Tamandua tetradactyla: one gene and its partner. Each later gene encodes a partner of the first gene's protein in a complex. Links are inferred from orthologs where the notes say so. Each region holds a gene or a part of one and is shown on either strand. Other genes may lie near its edges. The genes, in order: GINS4 and MCM5.

Region 1 (16,110 bases):
ACTCCTACTGAACTCTGTTACCAATGACATATTCCAAGTTTATTCTCGAATGTCAATTCACATCATTGGGACCATACAGTATTTGTCTTTTAGTTTTTGGCTAGACTCACTCAGCATAATGTTCTCTAGGTCCATCCATGTTATTACATGCTTCATAAGTTTATCCTGTCTTAAAGCTGCATAATATTCCATCGTATGTATATACCACAGTTTGTTTAGCCACTCGTCTGTTGATGGACATTTTAGCTGTTTCCATCTCTTTGCAATTGTAAATAACGCTGCTATAAACATTGGTGTGCAAATGTCCGTTTGAGTTTTTGCCCTTAATTCCTTTGAGTAGATTCCCAGCAATGGTATTGCTGGGTCGTATGGCAATTCTATATTCAGCTTTTTGAGGAACCGCCAAACTGCCTTCCACAGTGGTTGCACCATTTGACATTCCCACCAACAGTGGATAAGTGTGCCTCTTTCACCGCATCCTCTCCAGCACTTGTCATTTTCTGTTTTGTTGATAATGGCCATTCTGGTGGGTGTGAGATGATATCTCCTTGTGGTTTTGATTTGCATTTCTCTAATGGCCAGGGACATTGAGCATCTCTTCATGTGCCTTTTGGCTATTTGTATTTCCTCCTTTGAGAGGTGTCTATTCAAGTCTTTTTCCCATTTTGTAATTGGGTTGGCTGTCTTTTTGTTGTTGAGTTGAACAATCTCTTTATAAATTCTGGATACTAGACCTTTATCTGATATGTCATTTCCAAATATTGTTTCCCATTATGTAGGCTGTCTTTCTACTTTCTTGATGAAGTTCTTTGATGCACAAAAGTGTTTAATTTTGAGGAGTTCCCATTTATTTATTTCCTTCTTCAGTGCTCTTGCTTTAGGTTTAAGGTCCATAAAACTGCCTCCAATTGTAAGATTCATAAGATATCTCCCTACATATTCCTCTAACTGTTTTATGGTCTTAGACCTAATGTTTAGATCTTTGATCCATTTTGAGTTAACTTTTGTGTAGGGTGTGAGATATGGGTCTTCTTTCATTCTTTTGCATATGGATATCCAGTTCTCTAGGCACCATTTATTGAAGAGACTGTTCTGTCCCAAGTGAGTTGGCTTGACTGCCTTATCAAAGATCAAATGTCCATAGATGAGAGGGTCTATATCTGAGCACTCTATTCGATTCCATTGGTCGACATATCTATCTTTATGCCAATACCATGCTGTTTTGACCACTGTGGCTTCATAATACGCCTTAAAGTCCGGCATCGCTAGACCTCCAGCTTCGTTTTTTTTCCTTAAGATGTTTTTAGCAATTCGGGGCACCCTGCCCTTCCAGATAAATTTGCTTATTGGTTTTTCTATTTCTGAAAAATAAGTTGTTGGGATTTTGATTGGTATTGCATTGAATCTGTAAATCAATTTAGGTAGGATTGACACCTTAACTATATTTAGTCTTCCAATCCATGAACACGGTATGCCCTTCCATCTATTTAGGTCTTCTGTGATTTCTTTTAGCAGTTTTTTGTAGTTTTCTTTATATAGGTTTTTTGTTTCTTTGGTTAAATTTATTCCTAGGTATTTTATTCTTTTAGTTGCAATTGTAAATGGGATTCGTTTCTTGATTTCCCCCTCCGCTTGTTCATTGTTAGTGTATAGAAATGCTACAGATTTTTGAATGTTGATCTTGTAACCTGCTACTTTGCTGTACTCATTTATTAGCTCTAGTAGTTTTGTTGTGGATTTTTCCAGGTTTTCGACGTATAGTATCATATCGTCTGCAAACAGTGATAGTTTTACTTCTTCCTTTCCAATTTTGATGCCTTGTATTTCTTTTTCTTGTCTAATTGCTCTGGCTAGAACCTCCAACACAATGTTGAATAATAGTGGTGATAGTGGACATCCTTGTCTTGTTCCTGATCTTAGGGGGAAAGTTTTCAATTTTTCCCCATTGAGGATGATATTAGCTGTGGGTTTTTCATATATTCCCTCTATCATTTTAAGGAAGTTCCCTTGTATTCCTATCTTTTGAAGTGTTTTCAACAGGAAAGGATGTTGAATCTTGTCAAATGCCTTCTCTGCATCAATTGAGATGATCATGTGATTTTTCTGCTTTGCTTTGTTGATATGGTGTATTACATTAATTGATTTTCTTATGTTGAACCATCCTTGCATACCTGGGATGAATCCTACTTGGTCATGATGTATAATTCTTTTAATGTGTTGTTGGATACGATTTGCTAGAATTTTATTGAGGATTTTTGCATCTATATTCATTAGAGAGATTGGCCTGTAGTTTTCTTTTTTTGTAATATCTTTGCCTGGTTTTGGTATGAGGGTGATGTTGGCTTCATAGAATGAATTAGGTAGTTTTCCCTCCGCTTTGATTTTTTTGAAGAGTTTGAGGAGAATTGGTACTAATTCTTTCTGGAATGTTTGATAGAATTCACATGTGAAGCCATCTGGTCCTGGACTTTTCTTTTCAGGAAGCCTTTGAATGACTTATTCAATTTCTTTACTTGTGATTGGTTTGTTGAAGTCATCTATGTCTTCCTGAGTCAAAGTTGGTTGTTCATGTCTTTCCAGGAACCCCTCCATTTCCTCTAAATTGTTGTATTTATTAGCGTAAAGTTGTTCATAGTATCCTGTTATTACCTCCTTTATTTCTGTAAGGTCAGTAGTTATGTCTCCTCTTCCATTTCTGATCTTATTTATTTGCATCCTCTCTCTTCTTCTTTTTGTCAATCTTGCTAAGGGCCCATCAATCTTATTGATTTTCTCATAGAACCAACTTACGGCCGTATTGATTTTCTCTATTGTTTTCATGTTTTCAAGTTCATTTATTTCTGCTCTAATCTTTGTTATTTCTTTCCTTTTGCTTGCTTTGGGATTAGTTTGCTGTTCTTTCTCCAGTTCTTCCAAGTGAACAGTTAATTCCTGCATATCTGCCTTTTCTTCTTTTCTGATAAAGGCATTTAGGGCAATAAATTTCCCTCTTAGCACTGCCTTTGCTGCATCCCATAAGTTTTGATATGTTGTGTTTTCATTTTCATTCGCCTCGAGGTATTTGCTAATTTCTCTAGCAATTTCTTCTTTGACCCACTCGTTGTTTAAGAGTGTGTTGTTGAGCCTCCACGTATTTGTGAATTTTCTGGCACTCCGCCTATTATTGATTTCCAACTTCATTCCTTTATGATCCGAGAAAGTGTTGTGTATGATTTTAGACTGAATTCTTAATGTTAGATGACTTATTAATTCCCATCATTTTCAAATTCCTAAAAAAAAATTATTGTGAAAACAAAAACTTGTATTTGTCAATATAAATTATCAAATCATAAAAATTCTGCACACCAGTTAATATCTTCAGTGTCACGAGGTGCTTTGACAGTATAGATAAAATACCCACCACCCTGGGATATCACTCAGGGCCCCAGTGTCAGTTTCCTTTAAGCCTTCATCCCTATTTGTCCCTTTGGTTTTGTTAATTGTCCAGAGGCACTAGTCTCCGGGCTCTGCTAGTTTTAATTACACCCAAAAAACATGAGAAATAGCGCTTTATTCTGCATACAAGTATGTGAGTGGGGCTCTAAAATAAATAAATAAAACTTCCAACCTAGACACAGTATACAGGCCAGGGTAAAGTTCAGGGTCAAACTGAATTTCTCACTTAAAGTAAACATGTCTAAGATAATGCAAAGAGAAGGTGACAGGAGAACTTTGTAATTTCATTTTTCCACAAACAGGGAATGTCCGACAGAATTTCAGCCCTCACAGAGCTTTATGGGTCACATCCAAATCTTACTGGTTCAAATAAGTTAGCAACTCAAAGAATGGCAGCTGCTCACAGCAAGATCAGCTAGAATAGATCAAATGACCCAAGGCTTCTGGTTTCAAAAAATACCAACTCTGGGGTATAATTAACACAATTTCATGACAAAATTTCAGCTCATATTATTTTCATAGCTGAGCTGAACATAACATAAACTGAAAAAAGCTAATATTTTCTCTTACTTTGGGGTACCTGTAAGGTAGGATTCTTACATTATTTGTTTTGAGCTAATTTCATAGTAAAATATTCAGTTAATGGTATACGTCAAGAAACATAATTAATCACCCCATAGTCTTACCTTCTCATAAATAGGGGGTGAATTTTGAACTCAGTTAATTAAGATGCTTCCATTTACCAGTGAGAAACCTGTAAGAATTGTTTAAATGAAGAAACCTAGACATGAAATCAGTATGTTTTTAAGATATCACAAATTTAAAATTTCACAAATTCCTATTTCAAGCCAGGTCTTTTATTCCTTATACTTTAAGTGTTGACACTTCAGGAGAGTTATAATTTTAGATGTTCTATGTAAAAATGAAAATAATAATGGCAATAATTGCAATATAATTACATCTCTATAATTCTAATTAGAAAATTAGGAACGTGGGGAAATTTTTAAATAAATCAAATGAATGTTGTTTTAGTTTGCTAGCTGTCAGAATGCAATATCCCAGAAATGGAACTGCTTTTAAAAAGGCGGAATTTAATAAGTTGCAAGTTAACAGTTTTTAGGCCGTGGAAATGTCCCAGTTAAAGCAAGTCTATAGAAATGTCCACTCTAAGGCAGCCAGGAAAAGATACCTTGGTTCAAGAAGGCCGATGACATTCAGGGTTTCTCTCGCAGCTGGAAAGGCACATGGTGAACACGGTCAGGGTTTTTCTCTTGGCTGGAACGGCACATGGTGAACACGGTGTCATCCGCTAGCTTCCTCTACAGCTCCCCCAGGAGGTGTTTTCCTTTTTCATCTCCAAAAGTCACTGGCTGGTAGACTCTCTGCTTCGTGGTTCTGCAGCGTCCTCTGTTGCAGCTTTCTCGTGGCGCTCTCATTCTTCTCTGCTCTCTCTGAATCTCCTGCTTTCTCCAAAACATTTCCTCTTTTATAGGATTCCAGTAAAGTAATCAAGACCCACCTGGACCCACCTAATCCAGTTTAACACCCAGTATTGAGTGAATCACGTCTCCATGGAGATAATCTAATTAAAGTCTCCAACATACAGTATTGAATAGGGATTAGAAGAAATGGCTGCCTTTACAAAATGGGATTAGGATTAAAAAATGGCTTTTCTAGGGTATATACATCCTTTCAAACTGGCACAGATATGAATTGTATTCTAAGGGTTGCCCCCACAGGGAAATACTATTTCAATAAACTTTAGTCTAAAATAGGATGACCCATTCCATTAGTTATATGAAATTCTCAAAATAGTGTCCATGTAATACTTTTAAAGACACTAAAATTAATAAAGGTGGAAAAATAAATTTTGTTACAGGGTACATTCTTGAGCAAGGCTACACTTTCGTGCTTGAAAAAATTCAAAACTTTTCCTATGACTACATTTTAGAAAAGAGCATTACCCTAAGCTGTAAGCATTTAGAAATACTGAGTTTGGTCAGGTTTATCTTTGGAACTAAGGACAATTCTCCAAAATAAAGTGTATGGACTCTAATAAGCATGAAGACATGCCGGCACTTAGACAAATGAGCCTTTTACGGCCATGACGTAAAGGCAAATGAATTTCTTGATGGAAATGTCACATTTCTCTTTGACCCCAATCCAGAAACTTAGAAAAGATTATTTTACTCAATCTGCTAACTATGTTGGCAACAGTATATCGATGATAAAATAAAAGAGAGAGAAAATTCATGATCATTGTATATTCTGCAAGGAGCAAATGACAGTATAGTTTTTTGTATTGCTTCCTCACAGGGTGTCACGTTAGCTGTCTTGGGACTTATTCATTCTTTTAGCAAACTATGATCAATGTCACCTCCTCAGGGAAAGCTGCCCCAAACATCTTTAGAACCATATTCTAAAATGTCCCCATCCTCAACATTCTCTATCATTTACTGGATTTGTTTTTCTACATCGCGTTTTACCTCCATTTGACAAACAATTGTTATTTGTTTATTGTCTGTCTTCCATCCCAGGGTGTGTGTTTCCCATTCACTGCTTTATCCTTAGCTCCAACACAATGTCTGGCAAAGCAGATCCTCAAAAGCATTTGTTGAATGAAGAAATGAATGAATGAATGAATGAAAGAATGATGAGCACTCCGCAAGTTTGGGGGTTACCTTCAGGGAATTCACAGTCTAATGTGAGAAAGACATGTTAAAATTGCAATAGAGCATAATAAATGTTTTATCAGAATCTTATAAGGTATAATGGTGACCAAAGGTGGGGGAAGATGTGTTAGGGATGGTTTTCGGAGGAAGAGATACTTTAAATGGGTCTTAAAGGATGAATAAGAGTGCACTGGGTAGATAAATGGAAAGAAAAAAATTCAGAAGGAGGAAACAACAGGTATAAAGAAAGGAGGCAAAATACCTCATATCTTTAAGTAGTTCAACATGACTGAAGCAAAGAGAATGCAAGGGAAAAAAAGAGAGAGAGAGTGCAAGGATGGAAGTCCCAAACTAAAAGAAAATTAACAGCACTAACTTCTCAGCAAGAGGACTAAAACCATACCAGCACCTCAGTATCCTCCCTACTTCTCGCAAGAATATTGTGCCAATGTGAAACTATTTTGTATCCAAGTTCCAATACTGATCCAATCTTGTGGGGCCAGACCTACCGTTTACGGTATGATCTGTTGCTTTGATTACTTCCATAGACATGTGACACACCCAATTGTGGGTGTAGCTTTTTGACTAGATGGAGATGTGACTCCACCCATTCAAGCTGGGTCTTGATTAGTTTACGAGAGCCCTTTAAAAGGGGAAACATTTTGGAGAAAGCTCAGATACAGATGCTTGGAGAAGAGGTGCTTCAGAGCTGACAGAAACACGGATGTTTGGAGATCCTTGGAGTGCCGACAGCGAGAGCAGATGCTGAGACATGGGCAGAGCCCAGCAGATGTCATCATGTGCCTTCAAGAGGTGCCAAGCAAGCCAGAACCTAGAAAGAGTCACGGGAAGCCAAAAGATGAAACCTAGCCCCAGAGAAGCCAAGTGAGGAAACCCACAGGAACAGTCGGAAAGCAAAAGAGCCCAGGAGCAAGGCATCAGCAGATGTCAGCACGTGACTTCCCAGCTCACAGCTGTTCTGGACAGCATTAGCCTTTCTCGAGTGAAGGTAACCGCTTGTTGATGCCTTAATTTGGATATTTTCATTGCCTTAGAATTGTAAACTTGTAACATAATAAATTCTCTTTATTTCTTTTCTGGTATATTGCATTCTGGCAGCTTTCACAAACCAATACAAATATGTACTCTATCCTCCAGCAGAATTCTTTGGAACTAATCAGAATTAAAGAAGCAGAGGCCAGACTCTAGCTCCCTAATAGAAGAGCAGGAGGAGATTAGAAAAGTCAGGTTAGCACTAGAGAAGGAAGTCCCTAAATCAGTAAACTATTGGTACTTCCGTGTAGAAGTTATCTGTGCCAGAGTAAATATGAGAATACTTGGCCTCAAATCTATAACACTTAAAGAATATTAATAAAAAAACACTGAATAACTATGTGGTAATGATAATTATGGAAGAATGGAATTGTGCACAGTAATCTAATGCTGCAAAACAAACCACCCCAACATTTAATGCAAATATTTGTTTTTACTCACAAATCAGTAGTCTGGGCAGGGTTCGGCAGGGACAGCTCATCTCTGCTTCTCTCCATGTTAGCCCTGGTAGCTCTAGGTCTGAGAACCATCTGAAAGCTCATTCACTGAGACAACCGGGGAATGGAAACACTGGGGCTGCTGAGCTCTTCTCTGTCTCGCTGTGGCCTCTCTACATGCTCTTTCCAGCATGGGAGCTTCAGGGTAGCCAGACTTCTCACATGTCAGCTCACGGCTCTCAAGGGACATGGTTCAAGAAAAGGAGAGCAGGGTGGAAGTTGTATCACCCTTATGAGAGTGCCTTAGTACTCAAGCAGTATCACTCCTGCCACATTCTCTTGGTCAAGGCAATTACAAAGGTCTTCCCAGATATAAGAGGAAAAAAAGATGGACTTCACCTTCTAATGGAGGAGTGTCAACATCACATTGTAAGAGGACCACATGGGATGAGATATATCTTAGGGCAGCTCTCTATGGAAAATGCAATCTGACACAACTAAAACGTGCTGGATTACCAAAGTAGAGTTTAAACGAACCTTGAAAAGTCTATTTGTCATTAACAAAACTCGTTCTTCAAGATGTGGCCCAAATACCCCTTTCTTTTGGGAATTTCCCTTGGTAAATATGCCCACTCTTTCACTTGGAATATTCTATGTAATTATTGTTTATAAAAGGACTGTAATCAGGTGGGTTCTAGCAACCTGTCAATTGGTCAACTTTTTTCCCTAATAAATCAGTATGGCACATGAATCATCACAAAGAAAAGAAGCTTCAGACTGATGGGGAAGAAATATTTATAGAGAATCCAGAGTGATACTTTACACAGAAAACAAAGGAGAGCATCAGCAATTCAGAGACCAAAAAGCTGACATCTCACAAAGAAAAAATACCTATATCGATATCCTTATGTCCTTGTTGTTCCCCCTGCAGTAAGAGCAGAAATTATAAGCAGCCTAAGTCAAAATAACCTAGAGAATTAAGCAAACACCTGATGTAGTAGCAAGGCTGGAAGCAAATTGCCTAAAGCAGTGGTTCTCAAACTTCACCTGCATCATGATCACCTGAAGAGTTTGTTAAAATAGTGTGTTGTGTCCTATTCCCAGAGCTTCTGATTGAGTAGGTCTGGGTGGGCTTGAGAACTTGTATTTCTAGTAAATTCCCAGAATACGTTGTTGCTTGAAGTGTGGGAACACACTTTGGGAACCAGTAGTCTAAAGGTTTTTAGAGGAGCTGGGGTTAAGAGGGGCCAGCCTCTCCAGAACATCAACTAGTTCCATCCCCCTACCCCATATTATTGACAGCCCTTTCCAACATTTAAAAGTTAGCATGGGCACAGTCTAAATACCCCTGAAAACAGGGAGAAAGATCAAAGGTGATGGTGGAGTTATACAGAGAAGATAGGATTTAGCAAATGAGTATGACTGTGGAGTCATTATATTGATATTTCTTTTAGTTTCCAGTGTCTCGGAGTAGCTAGAAAGAAAAACCTAAAATTGTGGAACTATAAACCATACCAAACTCTGAAATCTGTTTTATATCTAATTGTGGCAGTGTGTTTTGAGATTTATTGCTTTTTTGTACATATGTTATTTTTCACACACACACAAAATTTTTCTCATAAAAAAAAAAGGAGAGGGCAGTGCGACAGTGGCTCAGTGGCAGAATTCTCACCTGCCATGCCGGAGACGCGGGCTCGATTCCCGGCGCCTGCCCATGCCAAAAAAAAAAAAAAAAAAAAGAAGAAGAACTGGGATTAATGGTCGTAGCTGAAGCCCTACAAGAGAGGTCAGTGGAAAAGATGAAACAAGAGGCTATGGCCTAAAACTAGCACAACACACTTCTCCATCGGACCCACTGCTGGTCCAAGGTATATGCAGACGCTTGCTCCCTGGTGGCCCGAAGGCAGACAGCGCCGCATCTCGGAAGAGCGGTGGCAAGGCGCCCCCTCCCGACAGCCCTCGTACTGTACCGCAGGAACCGCACACGGAACAGCAGCCCAGGTGGGCGGAGCTAACGCCGAACCAGCCTCCCATCGCCCTTATTCGGAGTGGGAAGATTCTGAGAGTGAACTGCGCATACGCAAGACCCGCCCCTTTATATTGGGCGGGGTCAAGAACGCTGCCTGTCCCTTCTCCCGAACTCTGATTGGTTTAGCGCCTTCCGTACGCGGTGACGTTGTACCTGCCCGGAGTGTTTTCGAGACGTGCGCGGGAGCCGAAAACCCGGGAGAGTTGCTACGTCCCGGAAAGGCCTCGTGCGCGTTGCTCAGCTGTGGTTCCGTTCCCAGATTCTGTGTGGAAGAACCTGGGCTGCCTCCCCGCGATTTCCCGTTCTGACCGCTCGCTACTTTGGAGTGCCTATCTGCCGCCCAGTCCGCGACTGCGTGTCCGAGTGGGCCCTGAGGTACTGCGCGAGCTGCGTGCGTAGGGGGAAGTGCTGCTCTGGGTTCTCCGCAGCGAGAGGGGCGGGACGGGAGGAGTAGGCCCTCAGTTTCCCTGAGAATCCCCGCGGCTCCCCCCCCGCCGCGCACCACACAGCTTTCTCAAGCCTTTGGGGTCAGTGACTGGTCGGCGCCCCTGGGCCTGGCGAAAATCGAGCATTGATTTATTCCCCAACGATTTTAAGTACTTGCCATGAACTAAACTCCGTACCTGCACGCGTTGTTGTCTCCCACAACTTATAAGTGCCAGGCAGTGAGCACAAGCGCAGTTCATATTTGACCTGAGGTAAGCACAGCCCTTGATGACAAGGAGATCTATCGGGAAGACCAAACAAAACAATAATTATTTTATGGTGTGATAGGTGCTCAGTTCCAGGTATACACAGCGGGAACAGATACGAGGGGCTACCTCTTTGAGAAACTTATTCTCTGACCTAAGCTTTGAAGGAAGAGGCAAAGAATTGAAAAATCCAAGTCTGTGAATTCTCTAGCCACTACTGTTGAATCTCTGCAATCCCTTGTAACCCTTTCCCTTCTCCAGATACAGTTGCACTGTATGGTAAATAAATGGAAAACACATTGCGCACACAATGTGTTGGTTCGTTTATGTTCGTTAGGTTCCTGGTTTCAGTGAAAATGACAGAGGAACTGGATCTCATGGGACAGGATTCTGATGGTAGTGAGGAAGTCGTCCTAACTCCTGCAGAACTCATTGAAAGGCTGGAGCAGGTAAGCATTCCAAATAAAATCCCCTTGCTTCAATCTTAGCCTTTTTAGTTAGTCTAACTATACTAATTACAGACTTAGAAAGTAAAGAAATAGAATTCAAGACTTACTTTATTTCAGAAGAATAAAAGCTGGATCTTACCTCTACACAGAAATAGAGGAATATCCTCTATTAGAAATCCCATAATGTCAAATGCAGAGTTATCCAGTGGAGTCAGTAAGGGACAGCTTTGGGCACATTTAATAGAACAGTGCAGAGAACAAGAATGTATTTCATATTTTGGGAGGACTGCAGACATGTTGTGGTAGAGACTTGTAGGCTCCCCTATCTTAATCCTTTGAAGCATTTACTGGATTAGCAAGAAAGTGTCAAAACACCTTTTTTTAAGAAGGAAACTGGTCTTACTCTTCATTTTCATTCGAAGTATCTTCTTGAGTCAACTGTTCTCTTTATTTACACTAAATTGTCTAAAAGTCTGTTTCAATTTGCTAAAGCTGCCTGAGTGCAATATACCAGAAATGGATTGGCTTTTATAAAAGGGATTTATTAAGTTACAAGTTACAATTCTAAGGCTATGAAAATATCCAAATTAAGACACCAATAAGAGGATACCTTCACACAAGAAAGGTCAATCAAGTCTGGGATTTCTCTGTCACATGGGAAGGCACATGGCAATGTCCTTCTCTTTGGGCTTCTGGTTTCAAACAGCTCTCTCACCATCTCCCAGCATCTGTAGTTGAGCTTTCTCCAAAATGTTCTCTTAAAGGACTCTAGTAAGCTAATTAAAAACCCACCTTATGGGGGTCACATCTCCATGGAAATAATCTAACCAAAAGATCCTGCCCATAATAAGTCTGCACCCACAAGATTAGATTAAAGGAGCATGGCTTTTATGGAGTACGCAACAGTTCCAAACCAGCACAAAGTCCTAAAGTAATTTCTAGACTATCGTTTTAGTCATAATTGTGGTTTGTTGGGTACATCCTGTGTTCTTTCTAGGAATTGCATTATGTTCTTTACAATTCATCAGGCAGGCATTTTTAGAGTTCAGGGTCTGGATTTAAATACCTCTATGTCTTTGACCTATTATTTAACCTTAAACAAGTTATATAGCTTGTCTCAAGCCTTTCCTTGACTGTAAAATGGATGTAATAATAGCAGCTACTTCACGTAGTTAGGAAGATTAAATAAGATAAAGTAAATGAGATATGTAAAGTGCCTAGCTTGTTGTCTGGCTATAATAAGCACTCATTAAACGTTAGCTATTAGTAGTAATAACCCTCAAAACAACCCTGTCAGGCAGGTATTACTGTTACCCCATTTTAAAGTTGAGGAAACTAAAGCTTAGAGATGTAAAGTAACCTGCCTAAGGTCACACAGCTGGCAGCCGAGCCAAGATAGGAGCTCAGGTCTCTTTGACTCCAAAACATGGTGTTAAGCCATTATACCTATTGCCTTATTCCCTCTTTTCTTCTCCCTTTAACTGCCCTTTTCCAGAGCTCTTTCGTGTTTGTTACTTTAGTATTCTTCATTCTTTGCTGCTGTGTTAGTTTGTAAGCTACCAGAATGCAATATACCAGAAACGGGACAGCTTTTAAAAGGGGGAATTTTTTTTATTAAGTTGCAGGTTTACAGTTCTGAGGCCGTGAAAATGCTCAAATTAAGGCATCCCGAGAAAGATACCGTTCAAGTTTACAAGCTGCCAGAATGCGATATACCAGAAACAAAACAGTTTTTAAAAAGGGGAATTTATTAAGTTGCAAGTTAGCAGTTCTAAGGCAGTGGAAATGTCCAAATTAAGGCAAGTCTGTGTAAATGTCCAATCTAAGGCATCCAGAGAAAGACACCTTGGTTCAAGAATGCTGATGATGTTCAGGGTTTCTCTCTCAGTTGGAAAGGCACATGGAAAAACATGGTGACATCTGCTAACTTTCTCTCCAGGTTTTTTGTTTCATGAAGCTCCCCCAGGGGCATTTTTCTTCGTCTCCAAAAGTCTCTAGGTATGTGGGCTCTAATGCTTTTCCCAAAATGTTTCCCTCTTAAATGGCTCCAATAAGCAACCCCACCTTGAATGGGTGGGAACACAGTCCATGGAAACCATCTAATCAGAAGTTACCACCCACAGTTGGGTGGGTGATATTGCCATGGAAACGATCAAAAAGCTCCCACCTGGCAATATTGAATGAGGATTAAAGAACTTGGCTTTTCTGGGGTACACAGCAGATTCAGAGTGGCACAGATAACTTGATGATGTTCTGGGTTTTTCTCTCAGCTGGGGAAGCACATGGCAATGTCTACTAGCTTTCTCTCCAGGCTTCTTCAACAGCTTCCCCAGGGATGTTTTCTTCATGCATCTCCAGAGGTCTCTGAGTGTGGGCTCTGGTGGCTCTTTCCAAAATGGTTCCCTCTTAAAGGGCTCTAATAAGCAACCCCACCTTGAATGGTTGAAGACATATCTCCATGAAAACCATCTAATCAAAAGTTCCACCCAGCAATATTGAATGAGGATTAAAGGACATGGCTTTTCTGAAGTACACAACAGATTCAAATTGGTACGCCTACCGTACATGTCATTATGAGTGACAAAACCCAAGAATATTAATTTAAAAATTATATCTTGTATGATAATCTTTACAGTGATTTGTAATCTGTTATTATGTGTGCTGGTTTGAAAGGATATATGTCCCCTAGAAAAGCCATGTTTTAATCAAAATCCCATTTCATAAAGGCAGAATAATCCCTATTCAATACTGTATGTTTGAAACTATAATCAGATCATCTCCCTGGAGGTATGATTTAATCAAGAGTGGTTGTTAAACTGGATTAGGTAAAGACGTGTCTCCACCCATTTGGGTGGGTCTTGATAAGTTTCTGGAGTCCTATAAAAGAGGAAACATTTTGGAGAATGAAGGAGATTCTGAAAGAGCAGAGAATCCTGTCACACTACAAAGCAGAGTCCACAGCCAGTGACCTTTGGAGATGAAGGAGGAAAGCGCCTCCTCCTGGGGAGCTTCATGAAACAGGAAGCCAGGAGAGGAAGCTAACAGATGATGCTGTGCTCGCCATGTGCCCTTCCAGCTGAGAGAGAAACTGTGACTGTGTTCGCCCTGTGCCTTCTCACTAGAAAGAGAAACCCTGAACTTCATCGGCCTTCTTGAACCAAGGTATCTTTCCCTGGATGGATCCCTTTGATTGGACATTTCCATAGACTTGTTTTAATTGGGACATTTCCTCGACCTTAGAACTGTAAATTAGCAACTTATTAATTTCCTTTTAAAAAGCCATTCCGTTTCTGGTATGTTGCATTCCAGCAGCTAGCAAGCTAGAATATTATACTACAGACCTCTTTGAGAATCCAATGAAAATTCTGGCCCCTTTTTTCAGAGTGATGTACATATGCATTATTTCTGTAAGAAATAAGAAAAGTATGGAGCATGAAGGAAAAAATCTCATTTAACTACATTAAAATTAAGAACTTCAGTTTATTAAAAGACACCTTGCTGAGAGTAAAAAAGACAACAAAACTAGAAAACATTTGTGATATATCTGACAAAATACTAATATTCACAATACATAAGCAATCCTTACAGACAAACTGCTAGAATAATGAAGTCATAACAGGCACCTCCCAGAAGAAAAAACCAGGATGGCCAGTAAGAATATGAAAAAGATGTTCAACCTTTTTACTAATCAGGGAAATTAAAGTCAAAATCAGTAAGGTAGCATTTCATACCCATCAGATTGGCAGAACTGAAAAAAGATGAACAACATAAAGCATTGGCAGAGGTGTAGAATAATTTGAACTCTTATATTATCTGCAAAGGGGGTGTGACTTGATACAGTCATCTTGGAAAATAATGAAGATACACATACCTCGTAGCCTAGAAATTCCACTCCCAGGTATTGGAGTAGTGGAGGTAGTGGGAATCTAAAAATTCTACTCTAGAGAAAACTTCCACATGAATTCCAGAAAACATGCACAGAATGTTGATAATGTTGCTTGTAATAGTTAAAAATTGAAAATAACCCAGATATCCATCTAAAATATAATAGATTAAAATATATATATATATGGTATATATATATTTAATGAGGGAAGAACAGCAGAGAAAAGGAGTAAACGATAGCTCCTGCACTATCATGGTGACTCTCAAGAACATAATGTAGAAAAAAACACAGGTTGCCAAAGAAACCATTTATATAAAGTTCAAAAATTTGTTTAAGGCTGAGCATCCCACCCATGTAATGTGGCACATTGGTGTCCTGCCAGTGCCTCACGATGTTCACCTCTCAGTACTCTGGACATCCAGAGCCCCATGTTAGTTGCCTCTTCCAGGGAGTCATCAGAGACCCCTCTGATGACTCAGACTAGCAGTGGGTGAGCTTCAGTTTCAGTGAGTGCCAGGTGCTCTGTGGGAATGCCCTGTGCAGCCAAGGAGATGATCTGCCACCTGGACAGCTTCTGCAGCCAGATAGAGGTCTTAGGCTGCGTGGCACAGCGTAGGTAAAATCTGATGGAGACACTGGATAAGGCCACAGCTCTATGCACATATATAGGATACTCTTGAGTGCCTTTTTAAAACATGATTTAAAAGTTATTAGCTATAGTGCAGAGTTTCTTGTTTTAATGAAGAACAGATCATCCTTTAAAAATTATCATAATTTGACAGTATGGATGAGCATTCCCCTAAATGTGGTCTGCTATGCAACTGTACTATACAAACACCGTCATTTTCTTTCAGTGTCCTGACATGAAAAAATTGGGAGGCACTATGTAGAGACACAAACAAATGTAGTGAAACTGTAAAGAAAATTAAACACTAAATTCAGGCTAATGATTATCTTTGAGGTGGCAGGAATGCACAGGGACTTTTATTTTTTTTAACTGTGAAAGATAACATATACAAAAAAAACCAATAAATTTCAAAGCACACTGCAACAATTAGTTATAGGACAGATTTCATAATTTATGGGTTACAGTTCCACAATTTTTGGTTTTTTCTTCTAGCTGTTCCAAGACACTGGAGACAAAGAAATACCAACATAATGATTCAGTAGTCATACTCATTTGTTAAATCCTGTCTTCTCTGTTATAACTCCAGCTTCTCCTGTGAGCTTTCACCCAGTCTTTAGGGGTATTTGGGCTATACCCATTCTAACTTTTTCGTGTTGGAAAGTGCTATCAGTAATATGGATTAGAGGGATAGAACTAGCTGATGTTTTGTAGAGGCTGGCCCCTCTAGATTTTAGAAAGTCTGACCTAGGAGAAGGTTGTAGGTTTCTAGAAAGTAATCAGAGTGCATGGAACCTTTGTAGAATTTCAGATAGAGCCCTAAGTGTTCTTT
Region 2 (15,838 bases), on another chromosome or scaffold:
CACTGCAGGGGTTACAGGTGTTACAGATGTGGTCTCTGCCTTCTAGAGACTCGCAGCCCAGCCAGGAAGACAGAGACATCTTCCCACAAGTGCTCAAATCCAGGGAGAAGGTGGGGACTGAGCAAGGCCTTGGAGGATGAGTTCTTGGGCAGCACATGGGGTTGGGTGTCTTCCATCCCAGATGTTTCAGAATCCTGCGCTCTCCCCACTGCAGGAGGCGCCATGGGGATTGAAGTCCTAGCTCCTACCCTCCTTGCTCTCCATTCCCCAGCTTTAGATCACAGAAGAGACTGGACCAGGTGCCTGCTAGGGGAGACTGTCCCTCTCTAGCATCCTCCTAAAAGTTAATCCAGGCCATCCTCTGTGAAAACCTGCGTCTTTCAGAGAGAAGTAGTAGAATGAACTGATTATTTGAACTCAGAGCCCCTTTTGAGGCTGACTTTGAAATGAGACATCCTGGCTAGTCTTGGTTAGGGCACTTAACCCTGTGGAACTGCAGTTTTCTCATCTGCAAACCCAGGCCAATAAATGCCATTAAACACATCTTGCCAAGGATGATTCTTAGAAATAGAAAGTTGAGTGAAGAGAGCAGTCTGCTTAAGAATCCATATACTAGGAAACGACTTATCCATTGTATTGGGACATGGGGTAAAGGCATGAATGAGGCTGGGGAATTCTAAATGCAGCATAGTTATTACTGGAGGGCTGGGTGGAGTATTGGAGGTGAGGGGAGCATGGTGAGAAGATGAGTAAGCAGGGAATCCACCTGATCTCTTAAGCCTGGTGAAAGGTACATGGATATTCAGTATTTTTCTGAAGATTTTATGTCCAAAATATCTCATCATAAAACATCATAAAGTCTTACCTTCAGTGGGGGCCTAGCAGCATCTGTTGCTGAGACGATCATGTGTGTCTTTTGTCTTTCAGTTGTTTGAAGAGTTGCAGGAGCTGTTGACCCTGGAAGCCAAGGAACAGATTCCCCCAAAGGCAACAGGGCTTTACAGAAGGGAAGGCAGCAGGGTGCAAGGTGAGGCCACCAGGGATGGTTGTTTCCTCAGGGCCCCTGTTGGAGGGGACACGGCCCAGCTGTCTGTCCCTGGTATCTCCTTTGCTCTTCTGTCTTGAATGTTTTTAAATGAGAAGCGGGGTGCAGGAGAAAGAGCACAGAGTCAGTCTGATTCCAGTGTGTGACTCTGAATAAGCTGTGTCACCTTTCCACACCTGTTTCTCTAACTCAAAGGTTTCGGGAAGATATGCTAGTTGCAGAGAGTTCACTGGCTCTGAAGTGAGGACTTGTATACCAGGGACCCTTGGAAATCCTGGGTGAAGCTCCCACCTTCATTTAGTCCCCTTTCTAGGCCCTTTAGTGCTCCCTGAGCACCTGCTTGATATGAGGCAGGGAGTCGGGGCGCTGCCTGCAGCTGTTAACCTGCCATGGGACACTAGACAAGATACTTATGCTCCGGGCCTTGCCGCAGGTAGCCTCAGAGCTGCCTCCTTGGCAAGTTGCTTTGAGGTATCCCCCCTGGTGCATCTGTCCTGACTACTTGGCCTGTGGCTTTCCCACCTGCACCAGGACCCCAGGGACCCTGCTATTGAAAAGATTGTCCCCAGGAGGGTTGGAATGTGGCCAGTCCTGGGGAGGTGAGGCAGTGGTTCTCAAAGTGTGGTCTGGGTACCCCTGGAGGTTCCAGAGACCCTTTCAGGGGCCTCATGAGGTCAAAGGTATTTTTATAATGGCACCAAAATGTTTTTTGCCTTTTTTACTCTCATTTTCTCATCAGTGTGCAGTGGATTTTTCCAAAGTTTATATGATGTGTGATGATAGTCACTGATAGCTAATGACACATGTGCCAGTGTATTCATGTGTGTCAAAAACTTCCTGGTTTTAATTTTTAAAGTGGTTAACTTTAAAAATTAGATAGCTATAATCTACTCTTTGGGATCCTCAGTAACTTTTACGGGTGTGAAGGGGTTTTGAGACCAGAAAATTTGAGAACTGCCGCCCAGATGCATCAAAAGGAATGTAACAATGCTGAAGTGAGTCTGCTTGCTTGTGGCTGTCATGCCTGTAAACCCGAGCCCCAAATCCTTCCTTTCTGCAAGGAAGCACCTGTCATGGAATTTTACCTTACCTTCTCCTCTCAGTGCTCAGGGTGGAACTAGGATGCAAACCCAAGTGGCCTAGCCGGAGGGCCTGCTCTCGAACCCTGTCCTGCTCCTAAAGACTAGAGAACACTCATTCTGTGCATCAGTTGGTGCAGACGGCCCACCCAGGCTGGCTCCGGCCTGTCATGTGTAAATGATTGGGACTGGGACTGAATTTGAATTTTGGCCTCAGAGGTGCCCCCCTTCTGGCTCCTGCCTCGGGTAGCTTCTGCCCATCACCACCATTCCTCCCACATGTGTAAGAATCTGAGACGAGGAGTGACAGCTCAGACCTAATCATCATGGAAGCTTTAGGAGAGGGCCTTCCTAACAGAGATCTGAAAACATGACTGGGGTGCACGAACTTTCTCACAGTGTAGTCTGGCTGCAGATGGAATCATGGATGCTTGGAGAAGTAGTAAGCTCTCCATCCACCTGTTCTGGGAGCATTCTGGCATCAAGCAGGGATTGTACAAGAGACAGATGAGGCCCCTCTGCTTTGCTTTTCTGGGACGTTAGGCACCCTGATCCCCACCTGCCTATGGTTGACACTGTCCCTGCTTTCTCTTTCAGATTCCACTTCCACGGAGACTCCCAGAGGGAAGCCCCAGCCCAACATTCTCTCCCGGGCTCCGCTCATCCCATGGGTCCTTACATTCAGCTTTCTAGTGGCAACGGTTGCCGTGGGGCTTTATGCCATGTAAGTGTAGGCCTGCTGACTCCTGCGAGCCATGAACTTTGCCCAGTGGAGGGCCCTCTCCCAAGAGAAGAGGCTGGCTTCTCTACTTTGGGCATGGGGACTTTCCTAGGGCCCCCTGCCCTCTTCCTGCATCTCTCTATCTCTGGAAAGGAGGAAGGAGCCCTGTGGCATCTTCCCCAACCAAAAGCAATTCCAGCTCAATGACCTGAACTTTCAAAGTGGGACAAAGGACCCAGCCCAGACCTCGGCATCCCCAGTTCATGCAGCAGATCCCAGAAGATGTAGCCTGAAGTAGCAACTGTCCTGAACCTCCAAATGCCCTGGGTTCGTGGTCTTCTATTGATACAGCCATGATTGCTTTCTCCTGGGGCCATGGCAATTTTTATATAAATGTGCAAAGATGTTGTGTCTTGTGTTTCTTGTTTTTGTCGGAGCCACTTTTATTCCCAGCTCAGCCTGAACTGTGATATTTCATTGTGTTCTGTTATGTTCTATTATGTTTTTATAGCAGGGTTGGGAAGGGAGGTATTTTAATAGCACTGTGGCCTTGGTCTCTAACTTGTGTATGAAACAATAAACTACATTGGCTGATAGTAACTCAAGATGTTTTTCTTGGTCTCTGCTTCCCTTGGGGAACTGACCTTTTCCTCACTTCTTCTTGACTGCCTCGTGGGGAGAGGGGGTGCTCTTGTGTGTGTGGGGGGGTGGCAGGAGCAAATATTGTGCTGTTTTCTGAAAATATGGGAGTGAGCTTTAAACACTTGGTGGGTGAATGATTGTGTTGAACACTGTTTAATGCAAGACTTACATTCACCGAGGATGGGGCTGCCCTGTTAGGGTAAGATGATCAGATGCTGCGTAACATTTATATATTCTTAGGGTCTGGGTTGAGTCTCCTGGTTCGAATCCTGCTACTCCTCTTTGTATCTACACCTTTGAGCTTAATCACTAAACCTCTCTGGGGCTCAATTTTTTTTTATTGTATAATATAACATATATACAAAGCAAAGAAAGAAAATTTTCAAAGCGTACTTCAACTAGTAGTTAACAGATCCGAGAGTTTGTTATGAGCTGCCATTCCATCATCTCAGATTTTTCCTTTTAGCTGCTCCAAAACACTAGGGGTTAAGAGGAATATTAATATAATGATCCAACAACCATACTCTTTTTTGGGGGGTGGTGGGGTGGTGGTGATAATCCAAGAATTGAACCTGAGTCTCCTGTATGGAAGGCGAGCATTCTACCACTGAACCACCCCATACTCATTTGTTAAATCCCATTTTCTCTGTTATACCTCCTTCTTCTCCTTTAATCCTTCTCCCAATCTATAGGGATCTTTGGGGAATGCCTGTTCTGACTTTCTCATGTTGAGAAGGTGTGTCAACACTAAAGGATAGGGGGATGTGATTGATAATCCTGGAGAGGCTGGTTCCTCTGAGTTTCAAGATCTATCTGACCTATGAGCCATCTGGGAATTATATGTTCCAGGAAGGCAAACCTAGTGCATGAAACCTTTATAGAGTCTCAGTTTGAGCCCTAGGTGTTCTTAAAAGTCAACAGGAGTGATGTTGGTTGGCGTTTAGCAAACCATGGCAATTAGTACTATCAAATTGAAGCTTGCATAACAGTAGCCTCCAGAACAACCACTGGGACCCAATTTTATCACCTGTAATGTGAATACAGTGATACCATCTCATTGGCCTGTCAAGAGAAGCAAATGAGATGCACGTGATGTGCCAACACTATGGGACTTTAGTTCCTGTTGTGAAGGGAGGGACACCAATGTTTTGTAACACTTTACAAGTGATTGTTGGCAAGACTGTCATTCACTGTGTGAGTAACCTCACCTATAAATAGTCATTGTCAATATTAAATGATACCTAACAAATGTCATCTCATTTAATCCTCCCCGCAAACCTGTGAGGTGGGTGTTACCATTACCTCAGGGACACGTGACTTTAAACCAGGTCTTCCAGCTCTAAAACCCAAGCAAGACCTTTTCACTGCCCTGTACTGGAAAAGCCACTGAAATGCTAAATATACAGCCTCTTAGTGAAAGGGAAAATCCTTGACCAAAGGCGTCTGGACAGAGCAGGGGACAAGATCCTCGTACAACCAGTACATGAGGACTGGGAGCCAGGACACTTTAGTCCCTTGTCCTGGCTTTGTTATTAAGCCTGGGGGGTCTTGGACAAGTCACTCCGAGTTTCATTTTCTTCAGTGGTAAAATGGGTACCCACTTCCCACAGCTGGGGGGAGGACCCAGTCTGTGGATGGTGGCAGCAGAATCACCCCAAGGCATCAGAATCTTGTGGAATCCAGGGCCCCAACCTTGAGAGTTCTGATTCTGGAGATGTGGCATGGAACTCTGGAATTTATTTATGACGAACTCCCTGGGAGATTCCAATTTGTAAGCACGCCCAGAAGCCGGTCTTAATGAGATTACGCATATAAGGGTTAGGTAGTCAAATGGCAGCTACAGCTGTTGCCTCCTGGCCAGGTTTCTTCGCCTGTAAAAGGGGCCTAAGTATTTATTGTTTGTAGTGGGAATGAAGAAAGAAAAGAGGAAAAAAAAAACTTTTTGAGTTCTAACAAGAGTAGGGCTGAATCATTTGTGGTCTATCCATACTATGAAAAATTACATGGCTATTTAAAAGACTGAGTTAAATCCATCTATTGATGCAGAGGGATATCCATGAAGTATTCACGAGAAAACAAGTTCTAGATTTGACATTTTTAATTAAAACAGTCCCCATACATGTAAATACATGCTTGTATGAACTTGGCAAGGGAGTGGAAGGCCCTTTCCAGGTGTTCATGATGAGGCAGTGGGAATGCAAAGGCGTGGGGGAGATTACGCATTTCTTTTTAATAAGAATATCTAACAGCAAGCAGCCACTCTGCGTCAGGCGTCCTAATTCACTGTCACTATTTCCCTTTTACAGATGAGGAAACAGGAGCACTGAAAGGTCAAAGTAATTTGTGTAAGGTCACTTAATTAGGAAGTGGCAGACTGACACAAGAGCATGTGTAGCTGCAGTCATTAAAAAAGCTCTTAAACATTTTTTAGCTTCAGTCATTAAAAAAGCTCTTTTTAAAACGTAACACAATAAACTGGTTGTGGGAGGGGCTGGTGGGGGTGAAAAGCGCATATCTAATTCATATGGATTTCCAGGCAGCTAGCCCCAAAGAGCATTATTCAGTTAAGTGGATTCCCAATGACACCAGATTAGGCAGGAGGCCAAACCTAACAGCATCCAGGCTGGGGGCAGCTCTCTAAATAAGTTCTCCAAATCTTGGGGACACAGAGACTGTGCCTCTGAGTTTCTAATGTATCTTGAAGCACACTCTTTAGCACGGCTGCACAGAGGCATGCGTATTCACCCTTTCTGATAAAGGGGCAGGACAAATCAACCCCACAAAGAAGACATAAGATGGCAAGACTGGGTTGACAGTCTAATTCACACTTCCTCTCCCATCTTCGGATTTGATTTTTTCTTCTGTTGGTCAGCAATCGACATGAGTCACCCCAGGATGGGGCAGGGCAGTGTGTCAGCCTCTTCTAGAGGAAGAAGACATAAAGTTTCCTTGAAGGTTTGCTACGGCTCATCAGTCTGTAACGCTTTGGATGGGGCACTGGGAAATACAGGAGCAAGAAGATGGGAGAAAGGGGTTCTAATTTTGGATTTGTACACCAATTCACTTTGCCACTTTCAATTTGCCCCTCTGTGCCTTGATTTCCCCATCTGTACAATGAGGGAGTTGAAACAGAGGAAGGGTCACAATTCACGTGGGACCAGGCAGGAGCCCTTAACAGGAGACTTAAGCTGAGTGGCAACCCTGGTGAATGGGGGGGGCGGGGAGCTGATGCTCATCTAACCGATAAGGAATCACCTAGCTCCAGCTTACGTTGCTATTTTAGAAGGCAGGCCCCCTTTTTGTCAAATATTCCAATTTTCAAGTTAGGTTAGAAAGCTGGTTGTGAATTTTCTCCACTTTTTGACATTGCCAAATAAATAAAAACAATTTTTTTTAAAAAATCACCAATTGAGTCAAACAAAACATCCCTCAAATCAGAAGTTTGTGACGATCTTGATCCCAGAGGCTTTAAGACCAAAGGCGACTTATTTCTAACTAACTTTAAACCCTGGAGGCCATGTGTTAACATGGAAAGAACACGGAGCAGGAATGCAGGTGACCTGTATTCGAATCCTGCCTCTCCCCTCCACTAGCTATGGAATAGTGGGCTCCTCAGAACCAGCGGACTGGATCACACATCCGCAAGTGTTCACCTCTCAGGGCCCTTTTGTCCTGTTACAAAACGGGGCAAATGGAGCCGATAATTTCTTAACTCTTAGCTCTTGCACCCCACGGCTCTGAAAAGGATCATTTTCCCACCAGACTTTTAAACTGGCTTAAGGAAACTACAAAAGAAAACCGTCAGCGCTCCCGCTATCCGCGGATATCTGCGGATCTCCACCCCTCTCCGCCCCTCTCCACCCCTCTCCGTCCCTCTCCGTCCCTCTACGCGAGTACCGGTCCTTCCGCCATCTTCGTGCCCGCCCCGCCTCGGGCCTGGGCAGCCGCTGGTTTCTTCCCACTCAGAAGTTTCGCGCCAAATTGTCCTGTACACAAAATGGAGCCCGGAAGGAGACGACGTCTGACGTCATGCAGCCCCGCAGCCAATCCGCTTCGGCAGCCGGCTCGGAAGGCCCGGCTGGGGAGATTCCGGATTCGATCACGCGGGTACAAAACGGCCCAATCGCCGGCCGTGGGGACTCGGCCAACCAATCGGGGCGCAGCAGTCTCGGTCTCCGGACGCGCTATCTCGGTTTTCCCGCGAAACTCGGCGGCCGAGTGTGGGGCTTTTGGTTTCTCTGGGTCTGTGGAGCTCCGGGTGGGAGAGGTGAGATCGAGGGTCGTGGGAGCCAGCCCACGGCGGGTGTGTTGACATTTCATTTGGGGGTGCAGTGGAGTGTGGCAAGGGTTTTTCCTGGGAACACTGGGGTGGGACCCCGGGCTGGCGTGGGAGAGCCAGGGTCACACCCGATACCCCGACTTGAAGCCGGGAGCCCCCTGCCCCTCATTCGAAGGCGAGGACACAGGCGCGCGGTCCCCCACCCTGCTCTGACTCTCTGTTCCCGCGCCAGGTGCAGTCATGTCGGGCTTCGACGACCCTGGCATTTTCTACAGCGACAGTTTCGGGGGGGACCCTGGGGCCGATGAGGGGCAGGCCCGCAAGTCGCAGCTGCAGAGGCGCTTCAAGGAGTTCCTGCGGCAGTACCGAGTGGGCACCGACCGTACCGGATTCACCTTCAAATACAGGTGTGGGGGCTGGAGGGGTGGCTGGAGGAAAGGCGCACCTGCAAATCACTCTGTTCCTGGAGCTGGGATAACGGGCCATGTTTGGCCACATCTTTTCATTCAGACTCTTTTAGTGTCGTAGAGCCCAGGTGGGGAAACGTGAAGGAAGCATGTGAAGGGGCCTGTCCTGGTTCTTGGGGATTTGGGGTCCAGCAGGTGCTTTTCCCACTCACTGTTCCCTCCCCCCCCCATCCCCATGGCGTACAGTTTTGCATGGGGTTAACTTTTGAGTAAGTCACATGTTGAGTGAACCAACAACAAGCCAGCTGGAGCCAGGTGGACAGAGATGGCCCTTGGTTCTTTATCCTGGTGTTGTTCACTGTTCATATGCTTTTACTGTCTTTCTAGATGATATCTGTGATATCCTGTGGTAAACTCAAGTTCTCTATAGGTGTGAAAGGTGAGGGCAGTAGAAATGAGTCACTTCATTCATTTATTCAGTCTTGCAGCTTATATTGACTGAGCATCTGCTGCATGTCAGATACTGTCCCAGATGCCAGGCTATACAGCTCAGAGCAAGATGGGCAAAGTCCCTGCTCCTTGGTTCTTTTTACAAACCTGGGGCATGTCAAACCGTTGTAGGCTCTGCTCCTTTCCTTGAGACCTTAAAATACAGAGAACATATATTTGTTAAAGTCAGGCTCAAGACTGGACCTGACTAGTTATTAGCTGAGTAACTTTTCTGAGTGATAATCTTGCTAGGCTTCAGTTTTCTGTAAAGTAGATATGCTCATTCTTTCTTCCATTTATTCAGGTGACTTTGTAAGGTGACTTACAAAGGTGACTTTGATTACCTGCTGTGTGCTAGACCCTGAGATCCAAAAATGGTAATTGCCCTTGTGAAGCTCATAAATCAGTAAGGCGAGGCCTAGAGACCAGTGAGGTAATAATTACATCAAAGGAGAAATGTAGAAGGCAGAAGAGTTAAGGGAGGCTTCTAGAGGACCTGAACGTTGAGTTGACTTTTGGCAGAAGGAAGAGTTTCAGGTGTGGAAAGCATTCCAAGTAGGAGCAGTTTCCTGGGCAGAGGAATGGGGTGGCCTGTTTTGGTAGGGGACTCACAGTGGCCCCTAGACATAGTGAAAGAGGAAAGGGACCTGAGATGAGACTGGGAACAGGCTGTTACTAGATCAGTGGTCTCCAAAATGTGTTCTTAGAATACCTCCAGTGGGGTGTTGTATAAGGACTTTGGCAGTTGACAAAACAGACTAGGTCCCTGCTGGGTCAGATCTTCCCAGTTTGAGGAGTGTGTGTTGTTAGTCTCCGGGAGTGAGTTAAAGGCTCTGAGGAGTCCTTCAGTGAAAGAACTGGTTTGCAGCGAGTGTTTCCCAAACTGACCTGTGTGTGCACAGAACCCTTTCTTTGCACGTCTGTTAATACCTTCCAGTTGCTCGTGAACTGATTACTTGGAATTTCTTTGGAGAAACACTCCTGTTGGCATTGGGAGCCTTTGTAGGATTAAATAATAGAATGACCTGGAATGAGATGTGAGTTTGGAAAGAGGAGTAGTGTGTCAATGGCTACAATGTGGGGAGATTCTGGTGCACAGGTGTACCTCAGCCAGTCTTGGTCTTCTCTCTGTTTCTATCCCCACCCCACTCCACCGACCTTGCCCACCTACCCACTCCAGGGATGAACTCAAACGGCATTACAACCTTGGGGAATACTGGATTGAGGTGGAGATGGAGGATCTGGCAAGCTTTGATGAGGACCTGGCCGACTACCTGTATAAGCAGCCAGCTGAGCACTTACAACTGGTGAGTAGGTCTCCATCCCTGAGCGCTTCCCCCCACCACTGAAACTTGCCCTGCCTCCAGCCACTAACCACCTGTCCCCTGTCTTCTCTCCAGCTAGAGGAAGCTGCCAAGGAGGTAGCCGATGAAGTGACCCGGCCCCGGCCCACTGGAGAGGAGGTGCTCCAGGACATCCAGGTCATGCTGAAGTCAGATGCCAGCCCATCCAGTATTCGCAGCCTCAAGGTGGGTCTGCCTTGAGGCCGGTCCAAGGCTGATGGCAGCTGCTGCATGGCGGAGAGGGGCTTCACATACAGGCTGTATTGGGTGCAGCTTTGTGACCCTGAGCAAGTCACAACCTTTCTGAGCCTGTTTGCTTCTTTGTAAAAAGCAACTCATTGGACAGAAGTTTTCTGAGCTTCTTCAGGGGGTAAAACTTTGACTCAGGTCCTAGAGAAACATGATGAACTAAACTGACGAACTCTTGACCTCAAAGAATTAATATTCAGTGGGAAAATAGTAGGTTGGCTGGGAGTTTGTTTAACTTTTCAAACATTAATATGTTTAGAGACTAGCCTAAAGAATCCCTACATACTTATCACCCAGTTCAGTAATTAGCAACTGATAGCCAGTCTTGGGACTGTTTTGAAGCAACTTCCATGAATTGTGTAATTTCATCTGAAACTTTTGGTGTGCCTATCTAGAAAAAAAAAGAGTCATTTTCACACTTAAAAATTAACATTACTGCCTTATTTGGAGTAAGAATGGTCATAAGATGGGCAAATTTAGATAGAAGTGACTTGTCCCGAGTCTCTAAGCAGATTTTGGCAGAGCTTGAACTGGAACGTGGGTCCCCTGCCTCCAAGGCTAGTACTCTCTAGTACTGTGTGGGTCATGGAACGCTACCATTGGAGCTTGAATTTGGTCCTCATGACATCTGCCCCTTTGTAGCGAAATGTGCTACCTCCCTGCATTGTGCTGTGAGATCCTTAAAAGCAGGGGCCAAACTCTGCAAGGAGGATTGTTGCTCTCTTCCACTACACTGTACAAGCCATTCAGGGGTGAAAGACTCCCCGACAATGTGGGGCATGACTCCTGGGAATGAGTCTGGCTCTGGCACTGTGGGATGCGATCGACAGCGCCTTCCTGACTGAAAAGGGGGGTGTGGCCAGGGGGGTAAGTGTAATAAGGCGTCAGGGACCAAGAAAAATCAAATGAAGTCAATAGTCTGTTCTGGAGGCTGCTTTTAGTAAGCTTCAGCAGGATAGTGTTAATTGCCATGGTTTGTTAAACAGCTATCAGTATCCACTCCTGTTGACTCTTAAGAGCACCTAGGGCTCAAATTGAGAATCTATAAAGGTTTCATGCGCTAGGTTTGCCTTCCTGGAACATATAATTCCCAGAGGGTTCATAGGTCAGATAGATCCTGAAACCCAGAGGGTCCAGCCTCTCCAAGATTATCAGTTAATCACATCCCCCTATCCTTTAGTGTTGACATCCCTTCTCAGCATGAAAAAATCAGAAGGGCATTCCCCAAAGATCCCTATAGATTGGGAAAGGGATTAAAGGAGAAGGAAGAGATATAACAGAGAAAATGGGATTTAACAAACAAGTGTGGCTGCTGAATCACTATATTAATATTCCTTCCAGCTTCCAGTGTTTGGTAACAGCTAGAAGGGAAAATCTGAGAGGATGAAATGGTAGCCCATGACAAATTCTAGGATCTGTTCTATAACTGCTTGTTGACATGTACTTTGAAAATTACTGCTTTTTTCTTTCTTTGCTTTGTATTTATGTTATTATACAATGAAAAAAAGTTTTGTTTTGTTTTTTGCCACGCCTGACGCTCCTGCACGTCCATTGCAGCTTGGCTGTGGATGGATGCCTTGAAAACTGTTTTTCTGCTGAACAGAATAGCTGTCCTCCCCACCCCTCCTCCCCCAGCTCCATGCCTATCTCCCCCGTTCCTCACCCTGGACATTTCCCAACACATTTCAGGTCTCCCCCAGCTCCCTTTAACCAACACCCCTCTGTGGTCCTGTTGCAGTCCGACCTGATGTCACACCTGGTGAAGATCCCTGGTATCATCATCGCAGCCTCTGCGGTCCGTGCCAAGGCCACCCGTATCTCCATCCAGTGCCGCAGCTGCCGCAACACCATCACCAACATCGCCATGCGCCCCGGCCTGGAGGGCTACGCCCTGCCCCGGAAGTGTAACACGTAAGTGGGTCACCTATAGCCTGCAAGGCCAGGAGGGTCTCAGGGCTTGGTGTGTAGCTGCTTATTAAAGACCCCTGGGGAGGGCTGGGCAGATAGGATTAGCCTTTCTCAATAAATGGAAGTGCCATCTTTCCAGGGGTACAGGCCCCAATTTTTGGTGTCATAATATTTCTCCATTTTATATCTGAACCATCAGGAAATCCTTTGGTCTCTGCCTTGAAGTATGCATTCAGACCATTTCTTCCCTACCTTTGGCATGTTCTATACTATTTCCCCATCTCTTGTCACCTGGATCTATGTAGGAGCCTCTCCTGAGCCCCTCACGCCCACCCTTGTCCCCCAGTCACCTCTCCACCCAGCAGCCTGCGTGACTCTTTTGAAATGTAAGCAATTCATTCGGTTCCCAGCTCACTCAGAGTGAAGTCCTGCTGCGGCCTGCTCCCAGTTCCCTCTGGCACTTCCTCCCTTCTCATCCCCCTCTACCCGCCCCAGGAAGCTGCGTCTTGCTGTCCAGAAACACTAAGGTTACCCCATCTTGGGACCTTTTTAGAACTTGCCATTTCCTCTGCCCAGAACACTCTTTCAGCCTTCCACACACTCTGTTCTGACTTCCTTCAGGTTTCTTCTCAACTGTCACCTCATTGGAGGTGTCTCCCCTTGCGCTTTTTGTTTTACATTTGGCACACGCATACCTGGCCGCTCTTCCTCTCATGTGCCTACTTCTTTTCACACACCTTGCGCTACTTGTTACGTTATGTAGCTGTTTGCTGGTTTGTTTGTTTGTCTCCACTGATTAGACTTTAAGCTCCATACAAGCAGAGACATTTTTTTTACTTTTTAATTATTTTTAAAAATTTATTTTTAGTGCCTTAAAACAACCTGAATTTTTTATTTTTTGGTTCTGGAGATCAGAAGTCCAAAATCCATTTCACCGGATTAAAGTCAGTGTACTGCAGGGCTGCTTCCTTCTGGAGGCTCCAAAGGGAGAATCCGTTTCCAGGCAGTTCACTTTCTAGTGGTTCCCGGTATTCTTTGGTTTGGGCCCCTTCCTTTTCAAAGCACATTTCTCCAATATCTTTAGGCAGGGAGTTTTTGTTCATGGCTGTGCCCCTGCATCTAGCACAGTGCCTGGCATGTGGCAGGTGCTTTGCTTTGATGTTTGCTAGTTGATTTTGCTATAATGTTGAGTTTTGAGCAGAATGGTACAGAGAAGTAGAGCTGCCTAGAATCTCATTGGAAGAGTTCTTGGGATTTGAGTCGGGGGTTGCTAAGGTTGTTGACAATCTAGCTCCTGGAGCACAAAGGTCTGTGAGGGAACTGGGTAGTGACTTGCCTTCCATTGCCTGGCAAACTAACTGGAGAGGCGGGCCTCAGTCAGTTCTTAGATTCCTAATTGGTTCTTGGCCTCACTTTTGGCCTGTTCCTAACACCTTCTGGTGATAACTCACATTGCTGCTGGTCTCGCCTTGTGACTCATGGGATGGATGAGCCCCAGCTCTTGGGGTACCTCTGGTGACCAGCTCCTGCCCCTCTCCTCTTCATGCAGAGATCAGGCTGGTCGCCCCAAGTGCCCACTGGACCCCTACTTCATCATGCCTGACAAATGCAAGTGTGTGGACTTCCAGACCCTGAAGCTCCAGGAATTGCCTGATGCGGTGCCCCATGGCGAGATGCCCAGACACATGCAACTCTATTGCGACAGGTGAGGTGCAAGGGCTTGGAAGTGGGCATCAAGTGTTGCATGTCCCTGCACCTTACAGCAGGTGCTGGGCATGGATCGTGTGCATTGTCTGGAGCATGGTGAGTGGGCAGGGGACAAAGGGAAGAAGATGGTGGCTGCAGGGCAGTTGCTCTGGGCTTACCACTTCTTTTAGGTTTCATTTCTGATTTTCCCCATGACTTGGGTAGGGCATGGCAGCCCCCATTTTACAGAAAAGGAAATGTAACTTTGGAAGTTAACTAGCTTAATGGAGGAGCTGGGCTTTGAACCTACATCTGTTGCTTTCCAAAGCCCATATTCTTCCTAGGAGCATCTCCCCAGCCCTCTTAGAACTGAGAGGTTCAGAAAAATGTTCTAACATGCCCAGGGCGGCAAAGCTAGAAAATCAGCTACTGGAAAAGCCTATTTCCAGCCGAGTACCTCAACTCCCCCTGGGACTTACCATTAAAATTCTGCCTTGGGTTTGCTAAGCAAGTTGGAGAGAGGTTATAGGGAGCTGGGCCTGGGCCTGCCCCTTTGGTTATTGGGAAGAAGCTTTAGAGAGCCTTCATGAGGCTTCTTAACCTGGGCTTCAGATGCTCTGAAGTTGCATGTGAATGTTCTGTATGTGAAATACAGATATTTATTTGTAGGTGTAAATATTTATATTTCTATAAATTACATCTATATAATATATAAATATAACTTCCATCAGTGACAGTAGAGTGTGTAGAAGTCAGACTCTTGAGCATGTTACGTGAGTTTGATGAGCCTCAGTTTCCCCATCAGTAGAATGGGGGCAATGACAGTCCTTAACTCTCTCATAGGAATGCTGTGAGATTTAAGTTGGAAAATGCATGTCAAATGCTTGGCACAATTCCTGGCCTAAATTAAGTAATTAGTGTATATTTAGATTATTCTCCAAGGGGCATGTATACGTAAGCTAAAAAGCTTAAGTTGGAGGATATAGAAGAGAGGAGTCGGAAGCTCATAGAATGTTGAAGAGGACATCAGTGGTCCTTTATGAGGTGTGACTCTGCTTTAGAAACAACTTTTATATCTATTGTCTTGCAGGATGCCATGATAGTTGAGGCAGGCCTCACCTGACCTCTCACTTTATCATCCCCATAAAGAAACAGGCTCAGAGTGATTTCTTTGAGGCCACACAGCTGCAGAGTGACAGTACAGATTCAGGTCCAAGTCCCCTCCACATCAACTTGGCTCTGGTTAGAAGAGATTTAGAGACTTTCTTGTTCCAATATCTTACTTTAAAGAGAAAATGAAAGCCCAGAGGCAGAAGTATTTGGCTAAAATCATGGATCCTGAAAGAGGCAGAAATGGGGAGTACCTGTACAAGGAGGCTGGGAGGGAATAGAGGAAGGCCCCACCTTAAGCTGGCAAAAGGGAGTCATGTGGCGAGTCTTAACAGCAGAGGTGATGGGGATGGGGCTTCTGAAGGGCTGGCTGGGCCAGCCCCATACTTGAAGGCAGAGAGGGCCAGGCTGCCACCTGCCTTCCTGCTTGGCTGCCGCCCAACTGGGGCTTATCAGCCCCTCCAAGCAGCTGAGTCATCTAAGCATGGGCTGGGCTATGAGGAGGGAGAGATGGACCATTCTGTGGGCCTCAGAGGGGTGGCGTGGGATGGCACCACCTCCATTTTGATGCCTTTGGTGGAAATGCCAAGGTGGACTGTGAATGAGAGGAATGGATGGGCCGGGACTTGCTCCCCCTGGGATCTCACCTTTTCTTCTTCCTCCCCTGTCCTCTGCTCTCAGATACCTGTGTGACAAGGTCGTCCCTGGGAACAGGGTCACCATCATGGGCATCTATTCCATTAAGAAGTTTGGCCTGACTTCCAGCAGAGGCCGCGACAGGGTGGGCGTGGGTATCCGGAGCTCCTACATCCGTGTCCTGGGCATCCAGGTGGACACAGATGGCTCTGGTGAGTTGGCTTGGGGTCTTGGTTTGGCCTTG

What was found.
Region 2: GINS4 (region 1) and MCM5 share a complex: the UniProt entries of both Homo sapiens proteins name them as parts of the CMG helicase complex. The link is inferred for Tamandua tetradactyla from reciprocal best matches to the Homo sapiens genes GINS4 and MCM5.

What each region holds. Positions count from the first base shown.
Region 1 is NC_135329.1:17,014,014-17,030,123, forward strand, and holds the start of GINS4 (DNA replication complex GINS protein SLD5), read left to right. Parts: upstream 1-9,771; 5' UTR 9,772-10,001; intron 10,002-10,655; 5' UTR 10,656-10,674; coding exon 10,675-10,767; intron 10,768-16,110. UniProt on the Homo sapiens protein: Required for correct functioning of the GINS complex, a complex that plays an essential role in the initiation of DNA replication, and progression of DNA replication forks.
Region 2 is NC_135333.1:27,759,209-27,775,046, forward strand, and holds the start of MCM5 (DNA replication licensing factor MCM5), read left to right. Parts: upstream 1-7,602; 5' UTR 7,603-7,754; intron 7,755-7,998; 5' UTR 7,999-8,006; coding exon 8,007-8,173; intron 8,174-8,480; exon of another isoform or gene 8,481-9,217; intron 9,218-9,842; coding exon 9,843-9,969; intron 9,970-10,062; coding exon 10,063-10,191; intron 10,192-11,992; coding exon 11,993-12,165; intron 12,166-13,711; coding exon 13,712-13,867; intron 13,868-15,639; coding exon 15,640-15,806; intron 15,807-15,838. Other genes in the region: HMOX1 (heme oxygenase 1), read left to right, coding at 928-1,027, 2,722-2,852. UniProt on the Homo sapiens protein: Acts as a component of the MCM2-7 complex (MCM complex) which is the replicative helicase essential for 'once per cell cycle' DNA replication initiation and elongation in eukaryotic cells.